Coturnix japonica: one gene and its partners. The main gene of each other region encodes a partner of the protein of the gene in region 3 in a complex. Links are inferred from orthologs where the notes say so. Each region holds a gene or a part of one and is shown on either strand. Other genes may lie near its edges.

Evidence for each region.
Region 1: CBLL1 (region 3) and WTAP share a complex: the UniProt entries of both Homo sapiens proteins name them as parts of the WMM complex. The link is inferred for Coturnix japonica from reciprocal best matches to the Homo sapiens genes CBLL1 and WTAP.
Region 2: CBLL1 (region 3) and RBM15 share a complex: the UniProt entries of both Homo sapiens proteins name them as parts of the WMM complex. The link is inferred for Coturnix japonica from reciprocal best matches to the Homo sapiens genes CBLL1 and RBM15.
Region 4: CBLL1 (region 3) and ZC3H13 share a complex: the UniProt entries of both Homo sapiens proteins name them as parts of the WMM complex. The link is inferred for Coturnix japonica from reciprocal best matches to the Homo sapiens genes CBLL1 and ZC3H13.

The regions. Positions count from the first base shown.
Region 1 is NC_029518.1:41,024,064-41,029,256, forward strand, and holds the start of WTAP (pre-mRNA-splicing regulator WTAP), read left to right. Parts: upstream 1-1,710; 5' UTR 1,711-1,986; intron 1,987-5,052; 5' UTR 5,053-5,060; coding exon 5,061-5,090; intron 5,091-5,177; coding exon 5,178-5,193. UniProt on the Homo sapiens protein: Associated component of the WMM complex, a complex that mediates N6-methyladenosine (m6A) methylation of RNAs, a modification that plays a role in the efficiency of mRNA splicing and RNA processing.
Region 2 is NC_029541.1:1,765,335-1,770,457, reverse strand, and holds the start of RBM15 (RNA-binding protein 15), read right to left. Parts: upstream 3,484-5,123; 5' UTR 3,351-3,483; coding exon 549-3,350; 3' UTR 1-548. UniProt on the Homo sapiens protein: RNA-binding protein that acts as a key regulator of N6-methyladenosine (m6A) methylation of RNAs, thereby regulating different processes, such as hematopoietic cell homeostasis, alternative splicing of mRNAs and X chromosome inactivation mediated by Xist RNA.
Region 3 is NC_029516.1:13,295,219-13,300,391, forward strand, and holds the start of CBLL1 (E3 ubiquitin-protein ligase Hakai), read left to right. Parts: upstream 1-1,597; 5' UTR 1,598-1,613; coding exon 1,614-1,728; intron 1,729-1,812; exon of another isoform or gene 1,813-2,060; intron 2,061-3,785; coding exon 3,786-3,953; intron 3,954-4,286; coding exon 4,287-4,387; intron 4,388-4,616; coding exon 4,617-4,700; intron 4,701-5,173. UniProt on the Homo sapiens protein: E3 ubiquitin-protein ligase that mediates ubiquitination of several tyrosine-phosphorylated Src substrates, including CDH1, CTTN and DOK1. Targets CDH1 for endocytosis and degradation.
Region 4 is NC_029516.1:150,360,110-150,364,757, reverse strand, and holds part of ZC3H13 (zinc finger CCCH domain-containing protein 13), read left to right. Parts: intron 1-1,032; exon of another isoform or gene 1,033-1,090; intron 1,091-2,045; coding exon 2,046-2,154; intron 2,155-4,648. UniProt on the Homo sapiens protein: Associated component of the WMM complex, a complex that mediates N6-methyladenosine (m6A) methylation of RNAs, a modification that plays a role in the efficiency of mRNA splicing and RNA processing.

The DNA of each region.
Region 1 (5,193 bases), on a different chromosome or scaffold from region 3:
TGGGAGTCCAGGCTGTAATAAAGGGCCAACCTGAAATCACTAAGTGATATCCTGGGCTTTTTTGGTCTTTTGGTTTTTCTGTTTGTCTTGCACCATCCTATTTAACTCTGCTCGGCCATAGCATCCAGGGTTGAGATTCAAATGCATTAAAGGAATGCTTAAGAGGAAAACAAAACCCCAAAAACACAGCAATTGCACAAAGACAAATGATTAGGAAACTTGTATGGTAGAGATTAAAGTTATTGAAACAACAACAAAAAGGATGACTAAGCATTAATAAGCAGCTTGGATTCAGTGTAGTTAATGAGCAACATAATATCCAATAACAACCTCCTGCCCAGTGTGGGTACATTTGCACATTTCTTGGAAATCCAGGCTCTGTGAAATTCAGTCAGTAGGAGAAACAACGTGATATTAAAACCATAATTACTTTAACATGGCTTTAAAAGGGCTGTAATCAATACCCAGCTTTATATCCTTAGTTAACTAAGTACACATCTGTACTTACATTGTCTGTTATAAGCATCCCAGACCTGAGCTTAACTGAGTCACCACTCAGCTGTAATTGTAGCCTAATTGATTGGTTGCTGTTTAGGTGATGCCTTGAGGAGACACTCCACAACATACAGGTGTGAATATATTCCTGACCACCACATTGCGTGCAGCAACTCACAGGTGTGCAGTGGTACCACAAGCGTTGCAGTTAAGCATTATATCAGCTCCACAGACAGCAGTTATAAAATGATAGTATTATATTAACACTGCAGAAGTTGCTGTGGTGCTGTCCAAATGTTCGCTGCTTTTTGCACTGAGCTGAAGTCCATAGTATTTAGTCCAGTATTTGACACATGTGATCACTTTGTGCTCATCTAAAACTTTTAAAGCAAACACCTGCAAAGGATTTGTGGAGGAAGCAGGGCAGGAAAACCGAAAGCGCAATCACAGTCCCTGTTTTTTAGCTCAGATCTAAGATAAGGCTTTCAAAGTACTTCAGCTTTGTATTGCTGGGGTCATCACTCATGTGAAACTTGCTTTTTTGTGTAGCCACACCAGATCTCTGTATACACGCCTTGAGCTTCAAGGTCTTTCTATCGCTAACTCAGGGAAACTGATGCTTCTATATAAATACAAACAGGGAATATGTACGTTGGAATCCCTCCAACGTTTTGTTACCAATTAACACAGCCACGAAGCCGGATTTCTATCGCACCTTCAGGCAGGCAGCGAGGCACAGAGAACCGACTTCAGCTGGGGGTTGACAACTTCCAGCAGCCCGTTCCAGCCCAGCGATTCCATAACACAGCAACCAGCCGAACCCCAGCCGGGCACAGAGCACCGAGCTCACAGCGCACCCTGTGAGGAGCCTCCACAAACCAGCCTCAGTACCGCGGTATCCTTCCGCCCGCCCCGTGATGCCCCGCACTAAACGCTCGTCCCGCCCCTCCGCCGTTTAACTGACGGCTTTTAAACCAACGTTCCGATAACCGGGGAAGCAGCCGCAGCGGGACAGCGAGCCCAGCCCGCCATCGTGTGTGTGCTGCGAGAGAGGCGAGTTCCCCAGGGGAGCCTCTGAGCAGCCGGGCCGACCCGCCAAGAGGCCGCTCCGCCATCGGGGTCGGCACAACCCCCCTCCCCGCTCACTGCGGCGGCTCCAGCTCCCGCCGCGCATCGCGTGTTGCGCGCGCAGCCGCCGCCCTGTGTCGCGGGGCGGAGCGGGCGGGCGCTCATTTCCTCCTTGGGCGCCATTTTGTAGCGCAGAGAGTCCGCAAATAAAGAGCGGGCGGGAGCGGCGCGCGGGGACGCGCGGCTGGGGGGGACGCGGCCGAGACCCCGGCTGCGGAGCGGAGGAACCGGCCGAGCCGGCGGCGGGCGAGGGAGGCGGCGGACGGGCCGGTGCGAGCGGCGTTCGGCACTCGATGTGACGGGTCCGGCCCGGGCTATCGAGCGAGCTGCCGAGAGAGCGGGCCTACGCACCGCCGGCGGGAGGTGAGCGGGAGAGCGGGCGCCGTTTCACCGTGGGCGGCGGCGGGCACCCGGCGGTCCGGCCCTCACCACGGGCGGGAGGGGAGCGGAAGCGCCTAGAGCCATTTTGTGCCAGGCCCGGCGGCCCGCGGGGAGTCTCCTCCCCCACACTCGGCCGCGCCGCGCCCCGGCGCCGTCCGCCTCGAAGGAGGGAGGGGGTGGGAAGAACCGCCACGGGCCGGGGGGGCCGCGGGGTGTGAGGGGTGAGCGGCTGCGGCGGGCACGGGCCGCGGGGTTCGGCGCATAAGGTGGGGCTGGAACGGAGGGGAGGGGGCGGGAGCCGAGGCGGTGTGAAATCAGCCCGCGGCCGAGCGTGAAGTGTGTGTGTATGTACGTGTGTGTGTGGATGGGGGGGGTACCTTTTTCCCCTTCTCGCGGAAGCCTAGATGCTTTTTTAGGGATTTCCCCACAACGCTTATTTACGTATCATTAAAGGAACTGGCAGTTAGTTAAAGCACGAGTAGGGAAGCAGCAGCTCGCTCATATCTGTGCTTAACTACTTCTTGACTTCCTTGTTCTGTTTAAATGAGTTGAGTTTAGAGTGAATGCTTGCATGGGAATTGGGAGGTGAAATTCACATATGCTGTTATCTATCTGTGTATGTATTCAACCTAAGTTTTCTGAGGTAACTTACTGAATTCTTTTAGTAAACTTTATTTTGTGGCGGTGTTTTTTTTATGTCTATCCGCTGCAAATGATAACAAGTGATAGTAAGGCTGCCTTGTGCAATGCAGTGGCCTGTAGCATCCATCTTCCTCGCTGCTGTTGAAGGATCTTCAACAGATGGCAAGAGTTAGCTTTGCTGTCAATGTAGTTTTCTTTTTTTAGCTGTAATTGTAGTTCTCTTGGACACAGGAAATTGTGTTTCTCTCTGTCAAGGATTTCAGTGGTGCTGAAGTTTTCAAGGCTGGAACTTGTGAATACGGAAGCAGTAAAAGATTCCTAAATGTTTTAAGGAGGATTTAAGTAGGCGACTTAAGTACAGGGCTCACTAGCATTCTTTTTCCAATCTCTAAGTTATTCTGTGTTAGTTTGAATGAGTGAGTTGAGCACCATCAAGTTCATATTTAGCCTCTTGGATATATATTCAAGGTACGTGTTAAGTGAAGCAGGAGCTGTGCCAGAAGTTAAAGCACTGAGGAGTGGGGAGGAGAGGGCTTTATCTTGGGGAAGCACTTCAGTTCTGCCATCATCGTATCATAGTATCATAGTCTCGTGAGGGTCGGAAGGGAACTTAGAGATCACCATGAGGGCTAGGAACAGGAAGCTGCCATTCATCAGTGAGATGCTTTTACTACGTGTTTTTAGAGCCATTCCCACAGGTTCTGATGTCAGTTTCTATTTTATGAAGGGCTTAGAATCTGTTTCCTCTGTGTGCACTGCTTGCTGTCTTCTTAGGGTTTTCTTTGAAAGAAAAAGAAACTTGATTTGAATGGAGTTCTGTGTATTTGTTGGTAGTTAGTAGGTTTCTGTAAACTGAGGCAGTTGTGCTTCATTTGGAGTGTATTTGTGTTATTGACAGGAATGGGGCCCTTAGGATTTGTAGAAGTTCCATTAGTTCCATGCGTGCCTTTGTGAATATACCAAAGGTGCTTCGTGTGAGTCCTTTGAAACCAGTTCTTTGAATTGAAGTGCATTGTTTTCATCAAGTTGTGTTCATGACTGAGGAGTTGGCTGCATAATTTGAGTAGACATGAGTTGCAGCAGCTCTATACACTTGTCAAATCTCAGTACTGTTTGCAGCTTTCTATGGAAGGCACATTGCAAAGATGCATGGCTCTAAAGAAGTTCAGCTTCCTTGTTAAATATGCTTTAATGCTGTAATAGCTAATAGTCTTGTGCGGGTTGGAAGGGACCTTAGAGATCATCGAGTCCAACCCCCGGGATTCGAGCCTCTGTGTAGCAGAGCGGCACTTCTACCACTTGCACCACAGGGGGGATTCGAACCCAGGCCCTGTCTAAGGGTTTTTGTGGGCTTGATTTTTAATGTTGTCTGACTTAAATAAATCTCTATTTGCAGGTAAGAAAGCGTGTCTAGTAACTCAAGGAAGTGTGAATATTTAACTTAGCACAAATGTGGTCCTGTTATGGTACATACACACAGGATGAATTGAATTTTGATAGTTAGCCAAGCCATTAACTGACATACTGCCTTCCCTAAAAATAACCACAAGGGCTTTTAACTTAATATTAAGTTTGTAGCTTAATATTAATTTATCACAATATCACAATTAAGCTTAATATTTATTTATCACAATCTTAAAAGTAAGAGTTGAAAGCACATAATGTGACCCAAGCTTTACAGGTAATGTTCGAAATAATTTGCTTTATTCTAAAATGGTACTGAAGTAGTAGTGTTAATTGCTTTTATAGTTGATGTTATCCCCTTCCTTGTGGAACACTGCATTAAGTAGTTTTGGACACACAGGAAATGCCACTTTGCTTATATTTATTTAAATTAACAAGGTCTGATGTTTTTAGCAGGACACGGGGAAATGGTTTTAAGTTGAAAGAGGGAAGATTTAGGTTGGATGTTAGGGGGAAGTTCTTTACTAGGAGAGTGGTTAGGTCCTGGAACAGGCTGCCCAGGGAGGTTGTGGATGCCCCGTCCTTGGAGGTGTTCAAGGCCAGGTTGGACGGGGCCCTGGGCAACCTGATCTAGTAAATGTGTATGTTTGGTGGCCCTGCCAGGCAGGGGGGTTGGAACTACATGATCCTTGAGGTCCCTTCCAACCCGGGTCATTCTGTGATTCTGTGATGTTTTGTTCTTAGTTAAGTTGAAAACATCACTGGTAGCATTTATAGATGCTAAGGAAAGCTTTGGCTAACTCCTCTAAAGAAGTCCCTTGACTTTGTATCTCAGTGACAACAGTAAACTTGTCTTGGTTGTGCTTTGGCTCTATGTTGTGTGGAGCCAACATTGCAGTGATCTAATGTCAGAAAGAGAAATTAAGAGTAGAACTACAGGTGTCTTGCAGAGTATTTCATACACAGTAATAACTAAACTAACACTCCTTTTTCCCCCTTCAGAGTTCACAATGACGAATGAAGAACCTCTCCCAAAGAAGGTATGTTGAAAAATATTTGTGACCTCCCCCCCGCCCCCAAGTAGTCATGATCACTTGGTAAGTTGTGCTTCTCCTTTTGCTCTGCAGGTTCGCCTTAGTGAAG
Region 2 (5,123 bases), on a different chromosome or scaffold from region 3:
TCAAACTACCTTTAGTAGTGCTTTAAATCTGGTCTTTTCGGTTCAGAACTCTTTTAAAGGATGAGTTTGTCCAACTCGCTTTAAAAAACAAAAATACATGAAATGAAAAAAGGACACACGAATCAAAATGAGGAAGATGGGAGTTTGTTCTTCCCTTCCCCCCCCTCCCCATCCCCATCCCCACCCACCCCCTTCCCCAGTCTTTTGTTGTGGGGGTTGTTTGTTTGTTTGTTTCCTTTTCTTTTTTATCTATTTATTTTGTCATTAAAGTCAAAGCAGGCCAAGCCTCCCTGCTATCCCCACAGATGAGGGATTCTCAACACATCCTACTCACTCTAATGGCTAACCAACCTTTCTGGCTTCTAACCTTATAGAAAAATGCGGTAACAGAAAATAAAAAGAATGGGCACAGAAAGTCACCTACAAACAAAGATCTAATTTAAAATCATGACTGGGCTGGCTAAGGCTGTATCCCATAGCACCTGGCACACGCTGGAGGGGCTGTGTGGAGGAGTAGGCAGGGTTGGGTACAGAGCACACAAGGGCTTTTAAGATGCCCCACGGACGATGATCATGACCAGATAGTCGTCCTCTGATTTGGCCAACGCCTTGGCCGTGGAGTCCAGGAACTGCTGGGAGAAGTCGCAGGGCGGAAAGGCGTGCAGGACCCCGCTGTTCTCCTTGTCTTTGTTGCCCCCCACAGGGAGGCTGATCACCCCAGCAGCCTGCTTTTGCTTTAGATAAGAGACCAGATTCCTGAGCGGCCTCTGGGTGGAGGTGGTGGCCTCGCCAGCCCCGGCTGTGGAGCGGTTGTCTGATGTGCCGGGCACAGCCAAAAGGATGGCGTAACCATTGGGACCCGCCACCTTGATGCGGCGGTTCACCTCATCCAACTTGGGCTGGTCCAGACGAAGACGTTGGGTGATCTTGAGCTGAGCTACTTTCCCACCAGTCGCTCCTTCCACAAGGAGACTGCTGGCAACTCCGAGGTCCCCCTGAAGCAGGTGCATATTGGACGGGAAATTGCTGTTCTTCAGCAGAAGCATCCCCTGCCACGCCAAGCACAGCTTGGGGGCTCCCCCGGCCTGCGATGCTCCGTCCTGCTGCTGTTTCTGAGGTGGAGGTTTGAGGCGGGAGCCTCCACCGCCTCCCTCTGCAGCACGTTCATCCTTTTTGGCCGGGCTTTTGCACTCCTGTGCAGCAGCAGCAGAAGTGCGATGTTTCCGCTCCCTTTCAGCGGAATTCTTTCGGTCACGCTTTTCGTTCTGACCCCTCTCCAAGCTGCCCCTCCGTGACTCCCGGATGGGAGAGGGCCGCTCCAAGAGGAGCAAGCGAGACGATGAACGCTCCGGGTCGCTGCTGTAACGCTCCCTCCCCCCGACGAGCTCAGGGCTGCGGTCTGGTGGTGTGGTCGTGGTCAAGCAGTGACGCTTCCGAGAGGAAGAAGAGCGCTCGCTGTCCGGAGAGCGATCCAAGTGCCGGCCTCCGTCCTCAGCCAGCCTCCGTTTCCTAGGCTGATCCCTACTACTGCCCAACTCCCGCTCCCCTCGGTCCCGCTCTAAGGACCAACCATCCCGACGGCGTTCTAGGCTTTCCAGTGGGTCGTAGGCAGCTGCTCGGTTACTCCTGTCCCGTACAGGGGGTGGGGGTGGCACCCACTCTGTCTCGGGATAAAGGTCTCTATCACGGTCTCTATAGAGCAACGGTGGCGTCCTGTCCCGGGCACCCCGCAGAGGATCGGGTGGGGCCCCCCGGTGAGCCCCAAAAGCAGCCGCCTCCGCCACGAGCTCATAATGAGCAGGAGGGGGCAAAGGCAGGGGCTGCAGGTAGGGCTGCTGGTACCGATGCTCGGTATCCGCAAAGTCAACGCGGAGGCGGCGATCCGGCCCACCCAATGGAAAGCCACGCATGTGGGTGCAGGCCGCCTGCGCCGCGTCCAGGCTCTCATACTGGATGTAGGCCCATGAATCACCTTTGCGGTAATCAATGGTACGAATGGTGCCAAAACGGTCAAACTCCCTGGCCAAGGCGGCAAGGGGCACCCAAGGCCCGAGGCCACCCACCCAGAGCCTGGTAGTTGGAGTGGCTTTACCATACCCAATCTTGATAGGGTTACGCAGGAGCACCTTTCCCGACATGGCCAGCTTGGCTCGATGCGCCATGTCCAGATTCTCAAACTTAAGAAACCCATAAGTGCTAGTCTGCCCGCGCCCCGGCCTTTTGATGTCCACCTCAGTAATGACCCCAAAACGATCAAAAGCTCGACGTAAATCTGTCTCGCTCACGGTGATGTCCAGGTTGCCCAGGAACAACGTGCGGTTGGCTCTCTGGTCATCCTCAGGGCTGATCTCCTCCTCACTGGCAGCTCCAGCACCCCCTCCTCCTCCACGGAATCCCCCAGCAGCCGCCACGCTGGCCACCCTTTCCAGCCCATAGGCCGGCCGCACTCGCGCCTCATAAAAACCCCCATAGTCCCTCTCCCTCTCCAACTCCCTGGGCAAAGGGGGAGGGGGCGGCAAGCGGCCCAAAGCGAGCTGCTGCAGCCGGTAGTCCCGGTAACCCAACGCCCCTCCGCTGCCGGCGGGGGACAAAGCCCGCTGCGTCGCCCCAGCTGCGGGATGCCGTACAGCTGCCGCCGCCGCCGCCAGCCCCACGGCTGCCGTGCCGTAGGGTGACTCCTTGTCCAGCAGCGCCGGCGAACGGCTGCTCCTCCTCCTGCTGCTCCCTCCGCCGCTCCCCACGTAGACGGCCTCGATCTTCAGCGGCCGGTCGTACAGCACGAGGCGACCACGGGCGTGTTTAGCGGCTCGTGCATCTTCAGGCCGTCGGAAGTTAACGAAAGCCACACGTTCATCCGCAGCGCCGGTACCGGGCGGGAGGCGACTGATTTTAACACTCACATCTCCGAATCGTTTGAACTCATGGAACAGCCCGTCCTCCACCGCCTCGTCGCTCAGAGCCGAGCCCAGCTCGCTGATCTTCAGTGTCTTGTACTCCCCGCTGTCAGACGACGACGACTGGGCCGCAACCGTCCGGGACTCACCCCCGCGGCTGCTGCTGCTCCGTGACGGCTCCGTGCTCTTCCCGCCGTACCCGTGCCGCCCTCCCGTGCCCGTGGCCGCCCCGCTCTCGGTCCGTGCGGCCTTGTCCTGGTGCGGGCCCCGCCTCCCGCTGTTGTTATCGTTCGAAGCCGCCGCCGCCGCTTTGCCGCCGTTGGAGCCGCCGCCGGAGCCGCTGGGCTTCTTGCTGCTCCGCTCTCGCGTTGAGGAGGAGGATGAGGCCGAGTCCTCGCCGCCCCCTCCGCCCCGAGACCGCTTGGCTTTGGCGGGGGAGCGCTCCTTGCCTTTCATGGCGGTGCCCGGCGGGGCCGCCTCCCGCCCGGCCCTGCGCCCCGGCGGCCTCACCGACGGACCGACCGCCGCGCTCACGCATCCGCCGCCATCTTGGAAGCCGCGGCCGCCGCCGACCCCGCCCCCTCGGCGCCCATTGGCCGCTCGCAGCCTCACCCCACCCTCTCTCTCCCGCCGGGCGGAAATCCCGCCCCACCGCCCCGCCGATCCTCGTTCCTATTGGCTGAGGGAGATGTCTGTCTATGGGCCGGCCTCGCGCGCCGGGAAGAGCCGCCCCCCATCCGCCCCGCCCCGCTGTCTCATTGGATAGTTAGAAAGGGCGCGGCCTTCTGATTGGTCCAGCTCTCCTGTCACTAGGAGCGGCTCTGCCTTTTTCCCATTGGTCATTGGGCGAAACTCTCTCCTCCTTCCAATTGGTCCTTTCACCTGCCAGTTATCTCGCCCCTGCTCCCCATTGGTCCGCGGGTTCCCGTTGTCCCGCTCAAATTCTCGCGAGCAGCGCTTTACCCGCCCCCTTTTCCCATTGGTCACTGCCAACCTGGTCTGCCTTGTTCTGATTGGTTGAAGCCAATGCCACTCCTGCAGAAGCGCGGGATGCTGCCCACGCTCCGCTCTTCGTTTACCATTGGACGAGAAAATCTCCCTAAGCACCCGATTGGATGCGGGTAGGAGCTTGCGGATTGGCTAATATGGCTGTCAGTCAAGCGCGCTTTGATTTTGATTGGTCTCCTGGTGGGTGTTGGGGTTCATTAATTACATGGAGGGTGTTTGGGTTCATTATATGGGGGCTGATTGGGTTCATTAATTACGTGGGGGTGATTGGGTTCGTTAATTACCTGGGGGGTGATTGGGTTCCTTAATTACATGGGGGGTGATTGGGTTCGTTAATTACCTGGGGGTATTTGGGTTAATTACCTGGGGGTGTTTGGGTTCCTTAATTACATGGAGGGGTGTTGGTGTTCATTAATTACCTGGGGGGTGATTGGGTTCATTAATTACATGGGGGGTGTTTGGGTTAATTAATTACCTGGAGGGTTTGGGGGTTCATTATGGGGGGGGTGTTTGGGTTCATTATATGGGGGGTGATTGGGTTCATTAATTACATGGGGGATATTTGGGTTCATTAATTACCTGGGGGGTTTGGGGGTTCATTAATTACCTGGGGGGTGTTTGGGTTCATTATATGGGGGATATTTGGGTTCATTAATTACCTGGGGGGTGTTTGGGTTCATTATATGGGGGATATTTGGGTTCATTAATTACCTGGGGGGTATTTAGGTTCATTACCTGGGGGATGTTTGGGTTCATTAATTTACCTGGGGGATATTTGGGTTCATTAATTACCTGAGGGGTGTTTGGGTTCATTATATGGGGATATTTGGGTTCATTAATTTACCGGGGGGGTTTTGGGCGTTCATAATACCTGGGGGTATTTAGCGTTCATTACCTGGGGGGATGTTTGGGTTCATTAATTACCTGGGGGGTTTTGGGGTTTATTAATTACCTGGGGGGTATTTAGGTTCATTACCTGGGGGGTCTGGGGGTTTATTAATTACCTGGGGGGTATTTAGGTTCATTACCTGGGGGGTGTCTGGGTGCTGCAGGCTGAGTGCAAGGTGCTGTTGTCTTGTTCCTCTTTAAATGATCATCTCCAACTCCATCGGGCACAGAGGAGGAGACACAAAGTGCTGCTGCTCCCCCTGTGCTGATCATCCCCTGCTGATCATCCCAGCTGCTCCCTGAGCTGCTTCGCATCCTCGTTTCTTCCTGCAG
Region 3 (5,173 bases):
TGCTACCTTAATGTTTTAGCACTATATTATTTTTTAATGGAAAAGCAAAAAAGGAAAAAAAAAAAACAAACACGAATCTTTGCACAGTGAGGGAATATATAATAGCAGAAGTATAAGAAATGTCCATGTATAATGTCCCCTCAGTATTTACGATTCCCAGTTGTTGGCATTTATGTTGATATTTGTTAAGTCTCCTTATTTGATTGCATCAGAGAATTTTTCCTATATCATACTGCACTGAGAAGGATATTGCTGCAAGTAAGGTTAGTGGAAAATCTCAGGTGAAAAGCTAAGCACTAAGTACGTTATTCTGCCCTATGGACCTGAGTGAACTCCATTAAGATCATTGTAAAAAATCCTATAAATCTCAATCATATGGACAGGATCCTCACACAGTGGGCAAAGGCGTGAAACTGACATCTTTATTCTGTAATAAATGCAAAAAACTTCAGTTCTAATGGCAATCGGTGTCATTTTTTATTTCAAATGCAGTGGGGGTTTGAACCTCAAAGGTGCTGCTGGTACAGCCCAAGCTGGTGACAACATGACTTCTTATTACTGTTAAGCAAATGCCCTTTGTGTGCCAGACTGGCATCTCCATGAACTGGAACTAGGTGTGTGCTTAGGAGCCAAGCCAGACTGACCTGCACGTCCTGAGATGGAAGCATTTCTCAGAGTCTGTAATGCTTTTCTTTAGCCCTCTAGAGAAGGACCTGAGGATCCTGGTGGATGAAAAAAGTGAACAAGGCAGTAGCCTGTTCTTGCAGCTCAGAAAGCAAATGGTATCCTGGGCTCCATCAGAAGAGGGGTGGCCAGCAGAGACAGGGAGGTGATTGTCCCTCTCTACTCTGCCTTCAGGAGGCCCCATCTGGAGGACAGCATCCAGATTTGGGGGCTCCAATATAAGAAAGACAGAGAACTGCTGGAGAGGGTCCAGAGGAGGGCCACAAAGATGACTGGAGGACTGGAGCACCTCCTGTGTGAAGATGGGCTGAAGGAGCTGGGCTCATTCAGTCTGGAGAAGGATGGGGGGTGACCTCATTGCAGCCTTTCAGTATCTAAAGGGAACCTATAAACAGGAGGGGAGTCAACTCTTTGAAGGTGTAGATAACAGCAGGACAAGGGGAAATGGTTTTAAGTTGAACGAGGCAAGATTTAGGTTGGATATCAGGGGGAAGCTCTTTAATACAAGAGTGGGGAGGAGCTGGAACAGGCTGCCCTGAGAGGAGCAATGCAATGCACTTATCTCAGTCTTGGACTGTGTATTTCCTCAAGGTATGGCAGTGCTCTCAATTCAAATGGTACAAAGCATTCGACCTGTCCTGAATGTTGGTGTTCCACACAAAGTCTGAGGTGATGGTTCTGTATGTATCACTACAGCCTTTGCACTATGGGGTGCTACACTTGGAGATACATTTCACAACCCTTTTACAGATCTGTGTATTGAAGGCCGTTGTATCCACTGACTGAAAAACAAAAGCTGTGCGTACTGAGAAAACACTCCGTGCATCCGCATGGTATTCAGTCCTTGCAGATGTGTCTGTACGGATCCCAATGCTGAGCAGCACCCAGAGCAGTGTGTGCTTATGGCCCCCGCTCGGCTCCATGGCGCCATGGCCGTTTCCCCTCAGCGCGCTCCTTGCCGCTCTCCCCGCCCGTTGCCCCGAACCTTCCGCTTCCGGCCGCGCCCTTCCTCTCCCACAGCGCCCCGCGCCATGGACCACAATGGTGAGGAGGGCCGGGCCGGGCCGGGCCGGGCCGGGGGCTGCTGGGCCGCGCTGCCGGACGGGGGGCGGTTGTGAGCGGGCTGCGGGGCGGAGGGCGGCTGGGCCGGTGCTCGGGAACGCGTCGGGCCGCGGTGTGAGCCCGGGCGCGGGGCCTGAGCCGTGCCCGGAGCGCCGAGCTCGCCGTCCCCTCCCCCAGCGAACGCGGCCGATCCGCGCTCCGTTCTGCGGGGCCTGTGCGTCAGGGTTCGGGTTTGTGCTGTGTTATGGATTATAAGAAGGCCTAAAATGCTCAAGAAAACAGAGGAGCTCCGCTGCTGCTTGCATCCTCTCCAGGTCTAAAGATTTGGGTACAGCTGTTGTACTTGTTTAGGGCTGGGTGTGTATCCACAGACCAGAGCGTGTCTTACAGGCCTTATGAGGAGCGGCTGAGGGAGCTGGGGTTGTTCAGTCTGGAGAAGAGGAGACTCAGGGGAGACCTTGTTGCTCTCTATAACTTCCTGAATGGAGGTTGTAGTGAGCTGGGGGTTGGCCTCTTCTCTCGTGTAATCGGTGATAGAACTAGAGGGAATGGTTTAAGCTGCGCCAGGGGAGATTCAGGCTGGACATTAGGAAGTATTACTTCTCAGAAAGGGTAGTCAGGCATTGGAATGCACTGCCCAGGGAGGTGGTGGAGTCACCAACCATGGGAGTGTTCAAGAAATGTTTGGATGTGGTGTTGATGAATATGATTTAGCTGGGAAGTATTGGTGATGGTTGGACTAGATGATCTTGTAGGTCTTTTCCAACCTTGATAATTCTGTGATTCTGTCGTCCTTCTGGAAACAGGCAGGAGCAAGTAGGAGCCAACTCTGCCCGCTGGGTTTGGGGCTGTGGGCATTCGCTGGGCAGGGTGAGAACTGAACTGCTCCCGCTGGACAGCGCAATGGAGCGAGCGCTGTGCTGAGTTCTGACCTTGTGTTTGGTGTATTTATCAATGCTTGCAAATGGACCGACGTCTGTAGGACTGCTGTGGCCTGTAGTGCAGTGTGTTGTTTGCTGTGCAGCAGAGCAGCCCAGGGAGCGATCAGAGGAAAACAGGTGCTGTCTGATGAATGGATCACAAAATATGGGCACTTATAATACTGAAGCAAAGTGAGTGTGAAGGCACAGTCCTGATTTGGAACTTGGTTGCTGTTGCAGAGGAAAGCTGCGAGCTTTGAGGCACAGAGTTTACACGAGGTGTTGTGCACGGTGCCCTGATGGGGCCCTGTCTCAATGTCCAGGTACTGCAGAGCTGTCACCGAGTTGTGTGTCAGTTTTGTTTCGGAATGGAATTTGCCTTCTGGGTTACTTGTGATCTTACACACTTGTCCATCTCCTTTCTATAGGGATACAGACTTAAAGGCATCTGAACATCAGTCTGATAATGGGTTTTGTAGAAGTCTGAGTGTTTGTTGCAAAGTGCTGACTGAATGTGCTATTTTGTCTATCCATGTTCCTGTTAAAATGGAAGTGAGCTGGGTTGGTTTGTGAAGGGTGTGATTTTATTTTAGTATAAATGAGATGCTGTGTGGTAGGTTGAGGCAGACTTGCTGAAAGCCAGAGAAATTGGGGTGTGCACCAATCCTTGGCAGCACTTTCCTCTCCAGGTTGTCTCTTGGTGCCTGTTTTGGGCATATCCTTGTTTCCTTTGGTGCCAGTCTTAAATCTGGCCAACGCGCCCTGTAGAGAGGAATGGTGATCTTTAGCAAGGATGCTATGTACTCTAGGCACCAATATGTTTGTGATACTTCATGCTGAACTTGTAAATGATATGTCCAGGTGCAAAGGGTGGAACAGGCTGCCCAGAGAGGTTATGGATGCTCCATCCCTGGAGGTGTTCAAGTCCAGGTTGAATAGGGCCCTGGGCAGCCTGGTCTGGTATTAAATGTGGAGGTTGGCGGCCCTGCCTGTGGTGGGGGGGTGTTGGAGTTTGATGATCCTTGAGGTCCCTTCCAACCCAAGCCATTCTGTGATTCTGAGAACCTTCAGAAACTCTTTTGTAACTAAGAAATAACAGAATTTCCTTTTCTTCCACAGACAATGATTTGCAAGGAACAAACAGTTCAGCGTCATTGGGTGGGCTTGATGTTCGCAGAAGAATCCCTATAAAGCTGATCTCAAAGCAGACCAATAAAACCAAACCTGCTCCTCGGGCTCCCAGAGCTATGAACAGGATGCCTGCAAAGACACAAGCTGGGGATGAAGGTAAATTGCTACAAGCAACTCACCCCGCAGTGAGGCAGTGCATTCTGCAGCACTGCTGAAGGCTTTAGTCAGTGTTGGAATCCAAGATTTTTTACAGCTGCTCAGCCTGTTTAAGTTTCCAGGTTCTGCTGCTCTGTAAGGATTAAATTATGTCAATTCCCCAAACAAATTCACACTGTTTTGATTGTACCTTTCTGCAGAATAGCCCAGCAGACCGGGAGTGTTGCAGCCCGTCTTGATGTTTTCAGTATATGATGGTGCATGCACTCAATAGCAGCCGGTGTCAGTCAGGGAAGTGGTGTTGCCTTGTGTCTGTCTTTCCTCTTTCCACAGAAGAATTTGATTTTAATGAAGAGGAGCGATACGAATGCAAAGGAGGTGAAATGTTTGGAAATCAAAGGAGATTCCCCGGACCCATTTTTTGGGACTATAAGGTAAAATCGTGGATGGGAAATGGTGGAACTTTGTGAATTGTACCAAACTGAAGGTTATTTTAAGAAGTATCTACTAGGATGAAAGCACTTGCATTACTTTGATGTACCAAAAATACATTTTTATCTTTGCGGTGGTCTTGCTTCAGTCTGGTAATTCAGAAAGGGTGGGTTGGTGATGACTGCAATGAGAAGAAGCTTTAGTAATGGTTCTCTTTCTCTGTTCTTCTAGATAAACTTGCTGGGGGAGAAGGATGATACGCCCGTCCATTTCTGTGACAAGTGCGGATTGCCCATCAAAATGTATGGGCGCATGGTGAGTGGGACTCTTGGGAAGAGGCAGCCACGGTGTCCCTGTAGGTAACAGGTGTTACTGTGTCTCTGTGGGGCTTCCAGAGGGTGGTAATTTCAGCAAACCTCTGAGTAAATGGCAGAACAATGTTGAGATGGAACCAGGGCCTTAACTGCTGGACTGCGTTGTTCTGCCTGACTCGCTGAGTTTGCTTTGCCCCTTGATTTAATAAAGTAAGCTTGAAAGTGCAAAAATCAAGAGCTTTAAAACAAACACAATCCCTTCCCCTCCCCCAAAATACCAACAGTCTTACAAGTTTTTAGTGTGTTTTCAGCCTTGCGCCACTTAGCTTTAATAATACTCTTTATGTCAGTGGACAATTTGTAATGAAGTGAGTAAGCACTGTTCTTTTCATCAACTAGCATAACAAAATCCTTGCGATGGACTTAGATTTCTGAGTGTGATGTAACAAGCTTGGGGATCTGACTTGATGACTG
Region 4 (4,648 bases), about 140 Mb from region 3:
GGTTCTGTATGGTTTCTAACTTGGACTGTTAAGTTGTTCCGATTAAGCTGCAGGTTCTTTGTTGGCGAGTTGCTTTGTGAATCGGCCTTGAGGTGTTTGTTAAAGTTAGTATCTATGAGGGGTGCTGTACTCCTCATAGATATACATGCTGAACTACATGCGTGCTGTAGTTCACTACTACCAAATAGTGTTGAATTAATAGAATCTGGTGTTTTTAAGAACTAATGTTTATTATTTGATTATAGTTGTAGGAATTAGTTGGATTCTATAGCAAAAATAAGCATTTTTGTAGAACAGATTCAGCCTTCCAGGAGAGCAGTCTAGAAAAACAAAGGTGCTCAAAGTGAAACAAGAGAATAGCTTCAGGGGAGACTTGATAAAGCTGCAAACTTCGAATCTCATGAGTCATTTTTTGGTTGCTTTTTCAAGTAAGTTGCTTTGGAATTTAGTACAGTTTTTTGTACTTAGACTGGAATGCTTTCGGTACATGTTGCGTTGATGCTGGAAATCTGTGTGACTTGGTAGGTTAGGACCATGTGCATCCTTTTAGAGAACCTGTCGTAAAGCGATGAAAATCTCTCTTTTCCTCACTGTAGAAGCTGCTTTAAATTACACTTGACACAAAATTGTTCTTTAATGAAAAGTTCCTCTGTATCATTTAGTAAATGAATGTAGCATTTAGTAAATGCTCAGTTTTTCAAAACCTTTAAGGCTTTGAATATGACGTACTTAATGCATCAAGATGAAGGGTTTGAAGATAACTATGCATTGAAGTGTTGTTCAGTTTACTAGGGAAAATAAATGCAGTACTTATTCTGTCATTTTTTATGTAATTAAGCTAGAGTTTGACATTGTTAAAGAAATAAAGGAATAGTTTAATTGTACTGACTTAGGAGTGACTCTCCATGAAACTGTATTATTTCCTCACTGTGTCTCTAAGGTGGTGTTAAGGGTTTAAATGAAGTAATGGCTTAAGTCCCAATGGGGAATAGCTAGTGAAATTCTCAGGCATTTCCTTTTCCTTCACATAAGGGGTCCAACGTACCAGCGCTGAAGAATCCCCAAAAGACAAAAGAAAGCACTATGGGAGGTGAGAAGAAAAGGGGAGTGGGGCAGGCTTTCATTAATTGCTCTTTCTGGTATCCTATGTAATAAATTAGTCTTCTATGCTTGGATATTCTTTTATTATTATTATTATTATTATTATTTTGATTGCATACAGTTAAAAGAATTTGTCGTGTACTTGGCTTGAGTCCAGAGAGATTATTTAGAGAGTGTGGATACAACAGAGGCAATGTTGCTTTACTACTGGAATGCAGGGTGGGGGGGTGAGGAAAGTAGCACAGATCCACTTGTCTTTTGAAATGGTTTCCTCCAAGAAAAGACATCCTTAGGTATCCATAGGACCATCATGATCCTATATACCACATGCTGTTTTGCCAAATGTTAAGTGAGTGCTACTGTGGTAGATAGGCTTGATTTTTAATACTGGGCCAATGAGCAAAGATAAAGCTTCTAAGAAAACCTGATTCCAGCGTTTTCCTTTTGGGCTTTTTCCCCACTTCCTTCTGCTAGCCTCTCCCTTTTCCCTCCCCACATTATCCTCCCAAGTGAAGTGGTTCAGCTTCTCCAAAGGTCATCTTCCTTTCATATGACATTCTTACTTACAGCTGAGAACTCTTAATGCTGTTATAGTTATGGTTTCAAGAACCTGATCTGTTCTTTAGATTCCCATTTTAAACTTGATTCTCTGGCACATGCTTGATTCTTGCCCTGCCTGTAAACCTTCTTATTTGACAAATCCCTTTTTCTCTCTTTTCCCAATCTGCTATTTGCATACTGATTATGTGAAATCGCGTTAGAATATTCTGCCTTTGGATTCTCTGCTTATTTGAGAAGGTATATGGTCAACAGGCTAAAGGGGAAAATGCTTTTTGTGCTATTAAAAAGGAACAGCCTAAATACCATGTAAAATGTACCTGCTTCTTCAGGCTTCTTTTAAAAAATAAAGTTGTTTACTCTAATGCAGTGTTTTTCCCTTATAGAAAGAGTCTTCACGAGGAAGACATAGAGAAAAGGAAGATATAAAAATTACAAAGGAGAGAACACCAGAAAGTGAAGAGGAAAATGGAGACTGGGAAACAAATAGAGAAGGTAAGAAAGATTAAACTGATCATCTCACTACCATTCAAAGAAATACAAGATCTGCAGGGCTGTGTGTAAGGCAGAAGTGGTTATAAAGAGTCAGTTTCTAAGCAGAGTGCTTCTATGCAGTAGCCACTAGGGTTCATTATTGGAAGAGAGCAAAGGTGCAATCAGAGTTGGAGTGCCGATGAGTAAAACCAACTTAGTGTAAAAATCATGTTTTTATGACTCCTCAGACAGCAAGGAGCTTTGCTATTGTCTATGCTGTGACTGAGCCTTTTGTCTTCAGATTAATAGCAGATCCAAGATGATCTTGAAACTGGTCAGTGAGAAGAAAGGAGGGCTTCTTTGAAGTCAGCAGGGATCTTTTGTTTTTGCATTATTTTTGTTAGCTATCTCATTAAAGAGGGCTCAATTAGAATAACAACGGCTAAAGGTAGTGTTTTGTTACTGGTCATCTTTTGAAATACTAGGAGATTGAGAAAGCAATACAGATTTTCCCTTGACTGTTTGCATAGTAAATGGATGAATATTATCAATACCAAATACAAGAAAATCATTCTCAACCACAGTCTCTATCCTAACACACTCCTACTATTGAAAGACAATGGAGAGGGGTTGGAAGGATTCTGATTGACCTTTGAGGATTCTCTCTACCAAAAGGTTGTGATGTCAGACAAAGAAACACTCCTTTCTCTGATGAATTTGTAGCTCTTCTATAAAGAAGGATACTAGATCACAGAATCACAGAATTGTAGGGGTTGGAAGGGACCTCTAGAGATCATCGAGTCCAACCCCCCTGCCAAAGCAGGCTCCCTACACCATGTCACACAGGTAGGTGTCCAGGTGGGTCTTGAATATCTCCAGAGAAGGAGACTCCACCTCCCTGGGCAGCCTGTTCCAGTGCTCCGTCACTCTCACTGTAAAGAAGTTCTTCCGCACATTCGTGCAGAACTTCGTTATATCAGATATCAGTAGTAGTTGTATTAGACAATTATCTACGCTGTGTCAGCCCCAAACTATTATGCAGATGAATATGTATGCTTAGCTCTTTTGCTTAATGCATATGTTTAGCTGGAAGTTCCATATCTTAGAAACAAAATGCAGACAGTCACAGCGCCTTCTTAAACAAAATACATTGAATTAATATTGGGAGGGAGGAAGAGTATGTTATTCAATAGGAGAAAGAACATATTATTTTCATTTAAATTAAGATGCCTATAAATTTACACCAAACCTTGGTAAACATTCTCTCCCTAATTAGAAATCTTCAGATGCTGGGGTTTACCTTTTCTGATACCTTATTTTAGCTAAATGTACAAGTGTAATTGTTAGTTGATTAATGATTGATTGTCTAGTATTATAGTTTAGTAACTGTAGAAAATAAATGTTTAATAGTCAGAGAGGTCATTTGTGTCTCTGGAAAAGTAAATTACCCGGGAAATTACTCAAACAAATTCAGATACAATGAATCTATTAACAGTGAAGTACACTGTAAGTTATTTTTGGGATGGCTCATCTGTGTAAGTTTTATTAATTAGTGGCTTTTCTATTGTTTGGGCTCTACATGTTGCAGTGTTTTTAAGACACTGTTGGAGTAGGATTTGTGAAGATGTGTATTGACAGAAGCTGTCAGGTGACTGAGAGAATAAGATGATAGCGGCTCTTTTAAATGTAGTTCTGAGAAGTCTTATTGTGTTGTTACCTTTATAACTTCTATGGATTACAAAGGAAATGTTGTTCCCAGTGAACTCTTCCCTTCCTAGCAAAACTAACCCATAATGTATTTTCACTGTTTCTAAACCTGAATTTTCAGAGTGGTTTAAGAAGCATTGTTGTGTGACATGTATGTATGGAAACAGAATCTAAGTAAAAAGAAAAAAAGTGCATCATAAAAACGTCTATTTCTATATAAATATATGATATGAATACCTTAATTCATACTCCTTGAGGTTTACAGCTTGAGAATGTTGAGTTTTTAAAAATGATGTTAATCATAGATGTAGTGTCTGATGGATGAAGTAGAATGACTGTCTTTTAAAGCTGAGTGTTATATAAATGAATTGATGGACTGGGAAGTAAGGATGTGTGCTGTTAAGAATTGCAGCTTTCTGTAATCACTTCCCATGCATTCAAGACACGTGAAGGAAATTAGCAGGCTGAAAATAATTATTGCAAAAACTTCTACGTAGTTCCTGTCTGTCAGAAGGGGAGCGAAAGCTAATGGATGTTAGATGGGATATCTTCTTCTCCAAAGGTTATTTTATCAAAGTGATTTTTGAATGTCAGGCTTAAGTAACCATAAACAAAATGAGGAAAGTAATCAGAGTGAATAAAACTGCTTACTTTTTCAACAAGAGATCGGTTGTGTGGCATGAAAGGGGTGATTTTAACTGCTAAGAACTTAATGACAATTGAGAGAATCTTTTTTTTTTTTAATGTGAAAGCCAAGCAGTAATGATGTGGAAGAGGTCCTGCAGACTATCCTTTTATTTTAAAGTGA